3 linked regions of the Macaca mulatta genome follow. The protein of the gene in region 3 interacts with the protein of the main gene of each other region in a biochemical or structural test. Links are inferred from orthologs where the notes say so. Each region holds a gene or a part of one and is shown on either strand. Other genes may lie near its edges. The genes, in order: TIMP2, LUM and MMP14.

Region 1 (3,646 bases), on a different chromosome or scaffold from region 3:
TTCTACTCAGCATGGTTAAAAGACCAACGTGTGTGGATCGACTATAAAGGCCACACCTTTCAGACCGAACCTACTCAAAGATCCTTTACTTTGTAATAATTTGAACCGGAGAACCAAAGACGGGAGACGAATGAAAGCAAAGATGCTCAAAGAACCCAAGGAAAGACCTGAAGGAATCCACCTGCATAGGCCACGCGTTCCGCTCCGGGTCAAATGCTTCCACGATGCAGAAACCTCTTTTAAAAAAAGTGCAAGTCTAACACCTACCAAGGGTAATAAAAAACACAGCACAGGAATGATTACAGTTGATGTCAAAAACAAACCAAAACATTAAAAAAACAATCGGCAGAAACAGGAGTAAATGTTACATATGATATCACCGTACAGGAAGCAAACGGGGGTGGGGTGTTACATGGGTTGGAGGGGTCTGGTGGAGTTGTATATACTGAAATCACATGGACTGGTCCATTATGACATCTTACCAACTTTAGATCACTGTACAGCATGAAAACGCCCGTGGGGCAGGGGCCGATTCCTGGATACCCTCCCAGTCTGCCCTAGAAAGGGAAGTCATCAAGATCTGTGCTGACCAGGTCCCGATGGGCATGGGGCCTGCATGCCACTTGGGGGTCAGGAGTCTTAACAGGTGCTTTGGGGTTGCCACTGAATAGAACAGGCTAAGGTGGCTTTGGAAGCATTTTGCAGGACCACTCCCAGGCCGAAAAGCTTCAGTTTCATTGCGTGTGTATGTTTACATAATGTGCCTATATATCGTCAGTTTATCTTCACAACACAGGTGGGAGCAAAAGAGATTCTCCTTATCGTTACCGAGAAAGTTCTTCCTATTCTGATCCCCATATCACGGGCTTCAGGAAACCATGTTTAGGGAACACATAGGTTCCCTAGTTCCCTAAGAAGTTTCTTAGCTAGGTCATCTTTGTCATTTGAGAAATACAAGCAGAAGTTGGTATATCTGCAACTCAGGTTCACCTGTCATCTGAGAATTCATCATCTGAGAATTCATCGTTAGAAAAAGGAGGTGTCTCTTAAAACAGGCCCAAGTATCCTGGAGGCTCAGAAAGAAGTGAGAGTGTCACCAAAGCCACCTACCTCCAAAATCCTTCCCTTCCTAGGCTGGACTTCTTACTACACTTAGCTGGCGTCATGTGCAGAAAGCCCCGTGCAGAACGATGGCTGTCAGTCTTTGAGGGAGAGAACACTAAGCCCAGGAGGGCACAGCAAGACCCAGCTTTTTCTGTCCTCAGGATGTGCAGATGGGGAGCACAGCCAGGCCCTGCACACAAGCCCAGATAAAGCAAAGCCGTGCCACTCAATCCAGGTGCCTGGTGCCAGAATGGGCAAGAAGCAATGGCAACCACAGCAGCTCAGGAAGGGACCTTGAGGGCAGCCACCGGCCCCGGACAGCAGCCTCAGGACAGGACCTCACCAATTCCCCCTGCAGGCTGGGGAAGCATGTGGACGGGGGGTGCAGGAGACCAAAAAGACTCAGCTGAGGCTGGGGTTCCTCGCTCCCATTTCTACAAGGCTCAGAGGGAGGCTCCCACTGGAATTCTGAGGATTAATAGGATTGATGGGGCTCCTTCAAGAATAAGCCGCTGGTTCCAGGCTGTCCCTGGATGTGGGGGGAGCCACAAGTGCTGGGAGGTCATGGTGGGCACCGGGGTGATGGGGGTACTTGCCAGGGGCAGGGAGTGTTACACTAGGGCCAGAGGCGTGGAAGCTGCAGAAAACAAGGGCCATGCCCCTCTCAAGATGAAAGGGACCTGGTAGGCCTGCTACACAGTCTTGCAATGACCCTCAAAAGTTTCTGCAAAATGCACATTTCCAGGCCCCGCCCTAACCCGGCTGGGAGATCCCTAAGTGCTGCCTGCTCGGCATCTGTGACGGTGCCAAGGCAGGGACTGGGAGGCAAGCTACATGTCCCAGCCCTGCCTGCACCCAAGGATCGAAGCCCCAGACACACAGTGCCTGGCAGAGGGAGGATGGGATGAGGACCCTGGACCCATGTCTCCCTCCAGACCCACAACCGTGTCTAAAAGGAGAAGCGGGGAGCAGAACTGTACTAATTTGGACCCACGGGATGAGTGTTTTATTCATGCTGTTTCCAGGAAGGGATGTCAGAGCTGGACCAGTCGAAACCCTTGGAGGCTATTTTTGCAGTTGGCCACAGGGGTGTTGTAGGCCTGCTTATGGGTCCTCGATGTCAAGAAACTCCTGCTTGGGGGGCGCCGCGCCGCGGTACCACGCACAGGAGCCGTCGCTTCTCTTGATGCAGGCGAAGAACTTGGCCTGGTGCCCGTTGATGTTCTTCTCTGTGACCCAGTCCATCCAGAGGCACTCGTCCGGGGAGGAGATGTAGCACGGGATCATGGGGCAGCGTGTGATCTGGGGAGGGGCACACAGAGGGGGATGGAGTCAGGAACCCAGGAAGGGGTGGGCAGAGGCTGCTCTGGGGGCATGTCCAGAACCCGGCAATGTGCCTACCTGCGGTGTGCAGGGATGGCAGCCTCTCCCGAGACCCACAGCTCCTGCAGGGGCAGGCGGCTGGCCTGCGAGGGGGTCTTACCTGCAGGGAAGCTGTGCCCCGCCCACCGGGGCCCCCCTCCTGCTGCAGGTGTGCTTCCCTTTGGGCCATCTTCTACCTTCCTGAGCATGAGAGAATGGCCTGGCTTGGCCCTGCCCTCTGGGGGACATAGCAACAATAAAAGGGCCTGGGTTTCCTGGAGACAGATTCCAGCCCAGTGAAAAGGCCGGGAATTGGGAACTGCTCAAGGCCGAGCCCTGAGGTCATAGGCAACTAGCAATTTGGCAAAGGAACCCGAGGCTACAAGAGGATGACTGCCTTCACTGCCCCATGGAAAGAAAAAGGAAGAACTTGCTTTTGATTTCATGCTGGGCACAGAGGAGTTTTGCTTAACATATGTGTGGCTGGAGACTATGAGTTCAGAATTCCTGTTTTGAACATGCTGAGAAGGGGCTGGTGGCCGTCAGGAGGGAGGGCAGCCCCAGGCAGCTCCCCAAGGAAGGCCAATCCCCACGGCCTCACCAGAGTCTACTGGTCCCAGACTCGCTGGGAGTGACCCAGGGTGGCAGGTGCCCAGCACTCAGCAATGCTTCCGGCAGGAAGGGTGGGGATAGGGTGCTAGGAGCCCACAGGGTAGGAGCCAGCCCGGGAGCCCTGGAGGTGGTGATCTCGCCTTCCACAGTCACATCCAAGCGTCGGGCTGCTACGACTGTGCCTGGCACAACCTCCGGGCTCATTTGAAGAGAAGCAGGTGTTCTCAACACACAGACCCCACGTAGACACCGACCCAGGTGTGAAAATGTCGGGAATGTTGGAAAAAGCATGAGGCCTGCAGTGCCCTCTCACAAGGCACACAAGGGTTTGCATATCCGCATTTGTAGGAAATGATCCATGGGACCATATTCTCCCCATACAGCTCCTTTTTCTGGAAGGGGCAAGTAACAGAGCTGAATTTATGCCTTACTCTCAAATCTCCTAGCCTTCCAGACATCCCCCTCCATTTTTTTTTTTTTTTTGAGACAGAGTCTCACTCTGTCAACCCAGGCTGGGGTACAGTGGCGCGATCTTGGCTCACTGCAACCTCCACCTCCCACGTTCAAG
Region 2 (4,249 bases), on a different chromosome or scaffold from region 3:
TATGCAGCTTCTTCAGTTGTTTCAACTTAGAGAAAACTCTCCCTTTTATCTTGGAGTTTTCTAGAAGGTTGTGATCTAGAATGAGCCACTGCAGATCAGTTACATTCTCAAAGGCCTTTTCATCAATATGGTCAATCTGGTTATTCCTAAGGTAAAGATACTTGATTCCAGGAGGCACCATTGGTACACTTTTCAATTTCAGCTCATCACAGTACATGGCACTTGGGTAGCTTTCAGGGCAGTTACATTCTGGTGCACAGTTTGGTGATGATTGCCCATAAATTGATAGGGGAAAATCATAATCATAGTACTGGCCACTGGTACCACCAATCAATGCCAGGAAGAGAGTAAATGCACTTAGACTCATTTTTGGCAAATGGTTTGAATCCTAAATAAAGTTGAAACATTTATTAATAAAAAATATATACTTTCAAGAAAAGGATATTCAACTTACAACATTAAATGCATTATAAAATGTGCATTTTGTTATTCTTATAGCTATTTTTAGTGCATCTAACGGCGTCTCTTCAATTTTTATTTAGGTATGAGGACAAAGGTGTATGTTTACAACTGTGTGGTGAGCAGGTTTCAGGTTAGATTGCGTACACGTGCGCCCCCTTCTGGGAGAGCCAGGCCTAATTGTTCCAGTCAATCTCTTTAGGCTCTTCCTTAATGAAATGCCTGCCTGTAAGAGGTTTCTGGGTGGTGTTCATTGACCACCGAATTAGACTACTGCTTCAGATCATCTCTCAGAAAACGAGAATGAGAAGACAGTTGTTAACTGTATACTCTACTCTACCATTCGACATCATTAAAATGACTCATGAAGAAGATCCTTACGGGAATATGGGCAACCTGAGGTTTTGCTTGTATGTGGGAGGGAAATGGAAGGCACATTCCTTTAAAACTATCCGGTTATTGTTGGTTCTGAGGAAGGAGAACAGAATTCTTGGTGCTGGTGTGCGTGCATACTAGTGCACGTTGTGCTTGACATTCCACACTTTTTAAAGCACACTGCAAAACTGTGTTCTGAAACTAATATTTCATAAATTAGCTATTTACTAAATTAAATATTAGTAATATTTAAGAATTACTAATATTTATCAGGAAAATGTCACACATTCTAAGGGTTTCTCTATCTGGAAAGAGATTCAACAGGTAGAGAAAGATAGTATTTTCCAAGTTTTCAATTAGAATTATAGTCTCTCTCAATTACTCACAAGTTCTCTACTTTCTTCATGCCAAAATCAAAGATGCCATGATTTGCATGTATCTGGCTTTTAGTGACCTCACAGAATGGAGGTGGGAGAGAGGTGGGACGTTTTTAAAGTTTGGATTTAATACTGGTATTAGAACTATCTAGTAAATTATTCCATTGAGAATATGAATTTAAAATAATGTGTAACAGTTATCTTCTCATAGGAACATGTTTCTCAGGTGAGGTTCAAAAAAGTCCATTTCAGTGTCTTAAGGAGGTGCGGCAATTTAGATATGGGAAAATTAGAATATAAGAGTTAGACTTTTATAGAGTGGAGAGTTGTGGCTGAGTTGGTAGCCCTGGGAGATAAATCATTAATGTGAAGAAAGATCTACATTCTAATAGATAACTGAGAATATTGTATCTTCCTATGAAAGTATGATTACAAGCTTTTGGATCAAGGTAGTTTGGGATAAGCAGGATCTCTGGGGTAAGAAACTGAAAACGTCTTTTATTTGTTTTAATTTGAAATTATAAGGCATTTTATTTCAGATCAGATGGAACGTTATAAAACAGTTGTCAGAAATACTTCGATTGCTGACATAATGTAACATGTAGCCAGATTCTCAGTAAATTACTCTCTAAGATTATAATGGGGGGCATTTAATATTGTTGACAGAACTTGCCATAATAATAATTGCATAGCACTAAAAAGAACATGATGACATATTCCCAGAGTTATTTATAAGTTACAGAATGCAAATACTGTAAAGATTTGTCTTGCTTTATTAATAAGCTATTTTAAATTTAGTATATACCAAAATATTTATGGTAACTATAAGGTGAGTATTAAAAAGTAATGAAAAATGCTTCCACATTTTTTGGCAAAGTAAAAACAAGGATGCTGAACTGAAAGAGAGTTTGTGACCATATAATGACTCCACTATGAGACAAAATCACACTCTACTTCCCTCAGTTTTCTCAAATACCTGTGGCTATAGAGAAAATGCTGTTTCCAAAAACTAAATCATTTCCCAGAATTTCTTTAAAAATTCATTCCTTAAGGCATATATCCAAGAAACAATTTTTTAAATTAACAAAACAGAAATAAATAATCCATAAGAGTCTCTAAATCTTTTAGCTCATGTTTTATAACATAGAATGTGTATTGTAAATTATAACAAATTGCCACAATATACTTATTAAAAGATATTTTGAATGCTGATTAAAATGACCTTTCCTTGCTCCAGTATTAGAGTCCAATACTAACATATATAACTAGTTAGCATACATAACAAACATTTTAATTTCTATATTTTTTCACTGTGTCTACTTTAACTATTTTCTCATTCTAACCTTGAAACTTTTTATAACTTCCCTTGCCAAGCAATATAGCATATACTGTATAAAATCTCAAATCTATAAATCATGGAAAACATATTAAACAAAATGTGAAACTAACTGCTCAAAACTGTGGATTTGATGTGGAATAGCAATTGGCAAAATTGCTCTGGAATTTTTCCTGTTCCTGTTACAAAAAACACTGTCCCAAACAGTTACCATCCCCAGTGCGATAGTTAAAACAGCACTTACCTTACTGTCTTGACACTGCTTTCGTTAATTCTTAAAGCAGATGCACTATGGACAAGAATCCACCAATATATGCTGTAAACTCTGTCAGGACGGAACTGGCTGCCAGATTCTGAGTGATACAAGAGCTGAAGGGGGGTGGGGAGACCCAGCCCAGTCACGCCAGTCTCTGAATGGAGTTATGTCATTGTGGGGATCTTGTGGTGTGGCATGTGAACACTGCTCTCTAACGAAGTGCAGGTGAATGTGGGGAGGAAGGACAGCCCAGTTCATTCCCTATGGAATGGGAGAGAGATACGTGTTTAACTAGCTCAAATACCATAGCTTTTAACCAAGGATTGAGTCCTGCTTCAAATAAGGAAGCTCACTGTGAGAACATTTTTCTTACAAACCTCTTTACATCTGTGGCTGTGGCAACAATTAAGTGCAATGCACTCAGCCAACTATCATGTTTATCTAAAGATCTCATAAATCATAAGCAGGGCAAATAATTTCAGGAAAACACAAATGAACAGACTCAGAGGAATTGAATCCCTTTGCCTATCACTTTTGAAATCAATATAGATTTACTTGGACTAACTTAATTTTTTGGTCATGAGGGTAACTTACATTAGTTTTGAAAATGTGAAATATGCTTCATATACTCTTGGATACACATGATAAATATCAGCATTTCGAGTTTACTTCTAATGCTAAGGAGACTCATTTTATGTTACTCAGGTCTGGAACCAATCAGCAAAGTCTTGTCTGTTTCTTATTTTGTGGATTTTTTTTAGGAATTCACCCAAAACCTTACTTGGGGATAGCATTCTATAGCTTAATGCCAAAAAACATAAAATAACAGAGAAAAAAATAAATTTATACTAAAAGTATCACAAGGCAATAATCTTTCATTCTCTCATTGCATGCTATAATTTTTTTTTCAAAGTTAAAAGTTATTCAAAGTTATAATCTCCCAAAGACCTGGCTGGATATATCTTTCATTATCAGCTCCTGATGCATGGTTTCAGCAAATGAGAGATGTACTTAAATCCTTGTCTATTTCATTTTGTGATTTTATCAGTTATATTTATGTGATTTTTTTTCTAAAATGTTTCATTTCCTCATATTTATAAGAACTTTTACAACAAGATATTTTAGTATAAATTGTCACATTGTATTTTTGTCTTTAAAAATAACTATATTACATTTTAGCAGTGAGACTTGTGGAAGATTAACTCCATGACTAATACTGCATTTGCCTGACAAAAGACTATTAGAATAAATGCCTTATTTTTGTAATAGAACTGTTCAAAAACAAAAAGTAATCTTCTTGAAAGTAACTAATGGAATTGTAAGATGATTCATAAGCATACAATTTTTACTAATATTATTTTAAGAAAATTATTGATAGGCATCAGTTTCAACAAAGTAACTGAACAAATTTATAAGGAATTAAGAAAAAAAGACCAATCAAATATA
Region 3 (4,245 bases):
AAGGAGTGACATTTAACCTCTGGTATACCAGAGGGGAGCCAAGCAGGGCACGCCAGTCCCGGGCTGCTCTCAGGGAGCTGCAGGCTTGCCTTGACCTGTTCTGGCTGATGCTACAGCCAGTGCCTGGGGAGGCCTGCTGTGGCCTGTGCCTAAATATGCAGGAAACGTCTTTTGCCCCTAGCCTCACCTGCAGGATAAATACACCCCAGGCTTATGACCCTTGGTTGGGGAGCAGCTGCTTCAGGACTTGGGGAAGGACAGGACTGGTCTACTTCTGATGCTGGAAGGCAGGAGGACTGAGGCCAGGCCCCCTCAACCCTCAGAGAGCAAAGCTGAGAGAATTCACCTAAAGCAGAACGACAGAAGGGAGGGCAGCACAGAGATGGGGAGAATCCACATCCAGGAGCTCTAGGGGAAATCCCCTCTGGAGTCTTTCAAGAAGCTAGGCGGGTCTAAATATTCATACCCACAACCTCCACCCCATACCCTAGGGAGAAAAATGAAGGCTCAGTCAAGTGAAAGACTTCCCTGGAGTCAAGAGAGCTGCAAGGCCTGGAAAGGAAGTGCCCCCATCCCTCTCCTCCCACCAGGCCTAGGCAAGTTTCTCTCCTCACAGAGACTATGAGGTCGAAACCACAGAAGAGAGGACTCTTGTGTCTGCGGCTGGGGGGGAGGAAGGGCTCAGCGCCAGACGGGCCATAGGGAGGAGAGGGCTGTCCTGGAGCTGGTGCAGGACTCTGGAGGCCTGGTGGGAGGGACCCAGCTGCATGAGGCCTGCACCACCCCAGCTTTCCCTCCACATTGGTCTGGAGTAAAAAGCAACTATGTTGGGTCAAAGAACTCAGCTGGTTGGCTCTGTCTTTGTGAATGAGAGAGATGCAAGGTATCCCCTAGGAGAAAGTCAACGGAACACCTCCCACCTTGGCTTAGGAGTCCAGTGGAGGGTGGGGGGACCTCCAGCTCTGCAGTAGGCCCTGGATCCTAGCCTCTGGGGCTGCTCCTCCCTCCCTTCCAGGGCCCAGAAGCAAATGGTGGTTCTGGCACTGGGACCGCCCATGACCCACTTAAAACGGAGCCAGGGCTGCCGCCCCTCCCCTGGGGGACCCAGCAGAGCAGGGGAGGGAAAAAAGGCAAGGCAGTGAAGTTGGCTGTGGGCAGCTCCCCAGATGCCCAGGCTCGTTTTCTTAGGGGCGCTCCCTTTCAGGTCTCAGAGGAGGACTCTAGGCCTGGGAAGAAGACGACTCCTCCCCGAGAGTCAGGCTCAGCCTCCAGCACTAGGGCAGGTTTTTACTCTCCCTGGTGTCTGAGCACTCCACGTTTCGTCTTCCACCCCCATTCCTGGGGCCATACTTTTCCAGTTGGCCCCAGACCCCTTCAGGGACAGAGAGAGAAGAGAGTATTCTTTCCAAAGAGTTTCCTCCGGGGTGGGACCAGGGCGGAGAAGCCAAACCCAGATCCCATCCCCCTTCTGGGGCCCTTCCTGGCCCCTCCCGACCGCACCCAGGCCCTTGCCAGGCTGAGTGGGTTGAGATGGCCCAAAATAAGAAGCTCATTAAATCCGTCTCCCACCTTCACCCCAAAATAAGAGAGAGAGAGGAAAAACCTCCTCAGACAACTCCCACGCAGCTTCCTCTGGGGCCCGGTGGGCCACCGTCTGGGCCGGGGTGGGGGTGGGGGGCGCCCGAGCCAGTCGAGACGTGTGAGGGCACCCCGGGCCAGACCCTCTCCCCACTCCCCGAGCGACGCCCCCTGGCTCCCTGCAATTAACACAGAAAAACAATTAACAACAAAAAGGGCCTGAAGGCGCCGACGCGGGTGGGGACAGGGGAAGGCAGCGACCCGGCGGATCACCCGGCTCACAAGGAGAGCTTTGTGTGGACGGAAACGCGGCCAGCGCGCCGGCGCTGCGACCCTCGACGCCAGGGATGCGGGTAGGGGGACAGCGGGGTCCTCTCGGGGAGACGGGGGCTGTGGCCCTGGACGCTCGGCCGTCCACCCTCGACCCCCATCTGGCCGCAGACGCGTCTGCTGAGGGCCTGGGCCGCCCGGGGAGGCCGGAGCGCCCATCGGAGGGCGCGCCGGCGGGAGAGCGCTGGAGAGCTGGAAAGTCGAAGGAACAACAAACTCTCGCGCATGACGAGGAGCCGGGACAGCGCGGGGTTTGAGCGGAGTCCAAATGTTTACCAGGCGGTTCCAGAGCGGAACGCAGAGCCCAAGGGAATTGGGGAAGGGGGAGTCTGCCCCAGTGGTAAAGTTCTTCCAAGGACTGGGAAAAAAGAAGGAATGGGAAAGACAGTCGGCGGCGCAGGGGGTGGGGGCAGCTGGTTGGAAGCGGGCAAAAGTTGGATCGATCTGGAAGTTTGGAGACGAAGAGGAAAAAGAAAAGGAGGGGGAGTCCTGCAGGCCCGAACAGCCGAGATCCCAAGAGCCCTCCTCTCCGAATAGAGGCTGTCCCCTTGGAGACCCCCGGGCTCGCCTCCCGGCGGGCGAGACTCCAGGAAGGGCCGGGGAGCTCACTTACTTCGGGACTGAAGGTGCTGCTTTGGGTCGAGCCGAGGGAGGCGAGCGCGGTGCCGAGCGTGAGCAGGGGGAGCAGGAGACAACGGGAGGGTCTTGGGGCGGGAGACATGGTCCGAGACCACCGGGTCAGCCGGGCAGTGTGGGCTCCGCGGCGGGGCCCACGCCCTGGGGTCGCACCGCCACTCCCTCGGGGCGCCTTTGTCTTCGGTAGCACTGAACTTTAATTCCTAGAGCGCTGTCGGCTTGGAATTAAGGGGATTGTTCCTGAAAGTGCCTGTTTGCTCTTCTCCTCTTTTCCGGTTTTTGATCTTTCTTCTGCTTAGTCGGCGAACTGGGGTCTGGATCCCTCTCGCTCTCTCCTCTGGTCCCTCCCTTTTCCCGCAGCCTCTCCTCCGTCCCCGCCCCAGTGCCCTCCTTTCCTGGTTGGGGACGTGGTTGTTTTAGCCTGAATCCAATTACAACCAAGAACTGGAAAAAAAAAAAAAAAAAAAAAAAACAACCAACCCGCTAAGTTGCCTTTTTGTGGTGCAGGCTGCCATCTGCAGGGGTTGAGGCCACGGTGGACAGCAGGGGGCTGTAGGGGACCCAGGGGACGGGATGTGGGAGACTTTCTCCCCATAAGCATATTCTGAGTGGCTTGATTCCTCTGGTATTCAGCATTTGTCTCACCTCAGGGTGGAAATTATTGGGGGCTACGTGGCTATGGGCAACAAGGAGCTCAAAGTGTGGGATGGTGAGGTCTTCCTCTATGCTCATGAGACCTGCATAGGGAGAAGGGGCCAGTTTACTAATAGTTGGGGGGTTATCTTCTGGCCCCTATAGACAACTGTCTATGTTCCTCCCTCCGCTGCCAAAAATTCCAAACTATAACCCAACTACCAACAAAAAACCCCACAACCATACTGGATCTGTGGCTCCAACCTTGTAGAAAGATTCCTTTATTGTCATTTGTAATGTGGCTGCACCTTTAATTGGAACTCGCTGACAGGAAAAGGGTACAAGGCCATGGGATCTGGGGAAAGCAAATCAAGCTGGGTGAAATTATTGTAAAAGAAGGGATTGGGAGTTGGGACGCTGGGGTTTAGTTCCACCTCTACACTGAAAAAGGAGGCAATTCTTAAAGAGTAAAATCTCCTTTAGGGACTTACTGGACTCAACAAAAGATGGAGGTATGTAGGAAAGGGAGAGGGCAGGATAAAGCTGACCGTGAGAAAGGGAGACAGATAAAGAGTCCGGAACTAGACAGATGTGGAAAAGCAGCACAACAGAAGCAGGAAAAGTGTGGGAGACAGAAAACTCGACTATCAGCGAAATCTAAGATCCAAGAATTGCATTTGGTCAGTGAGAGAGGACGGAGGTAGTGCGACGAGGGAGAAGAAAGCAAAGGAAGGAATAAAGGAGGGTGGACAGAAATTAGGTCAGGTAGGAAGCTTCAGAAATCCAAGGGATTCAGGAACTATCGCACTTCTGTGGCAGAAGAATGGAAGTCTAGTGCTCAGTACTGTAATGAAAACAAAGGTCTTTTGCTCTCAGATTCACGATCAATAAAATGAAAAGCTTTTCAGGTCCTGTGGAGCCTCCAGGTTTGTGGGAGGTATATGGTGTGCATTTATTTATTTATTTATTTATTTATTTATTTTGAGATGGAGTCTTGCTCTGTCACCCAGGCTGGAGTGCAGTGGTGCAATCTCGGCTCACTGCAAGCTCCGCCTCCTGGGTTCATGC

The links.
Region 1: the proteins of MMP14 (region 3) and TIMP2 form a complex in vitro, tested with the Homo sapiens proteins (2 studies listed by BioGRID). The link is inferred for Macaca mulatta from reciprocal best matches to the Homo sapiens genes MMP14 and TIMP2.
Region 2: the proteins of MMP14 (region 3) and LUM interact in a biophysical measurement, tested with the Homo sapiens proteins (2 studies listed by BioGRID and IntAct, with this or other methods). The link is inferred for Macaca mulatta from reciprocal best matches to the Homo sapiens genes MMP14 and LUM.

What each region holds. Positions count from the first base shown.
Region 1 is NC_133421.1:88,536,984-88,540,629, forward strand, and holds part of TIMP2 (metalloproteinase inhibitor 2), read right to left. Parts: intron 2,407-3,646; coding exon 2,209-2,406; 3' UTR 1-2,208. UniProt on the Homo sapiens protein: Complexes with metalloproteinases (such as collagenases) and irreversibly inactivates them by binding to their catalytic zinc cofactor. Known to act on MMP-1, MMP-2, MMP-3, MMP-7, MMP-8, MMP-9, MMP-10, MMP-13, MMP-14, MMP-15, MMP-16 and MMP-19.
Region 2 is NC_133416.1:98,417,174-98,421,422, forward strand, and holds the start of LUM (lumican precursor), read right to left. Parts: upstream 2,891-4,249; 5' UTR 2,792-2,890; intron 389-2,791; 5' UTR 368-388; coding exon 1-367.
Region 3 is NC_133412.1:95,912,064-95,916,308, reverse strand, and holds the start of MMP14 (matrix metalloproteinase-14 precursor), read right to left. Parts: upstream 2,865-4,245; 5' UTR 2,630-2,864; coding exon 2,522-2,629; intron 1-2,521.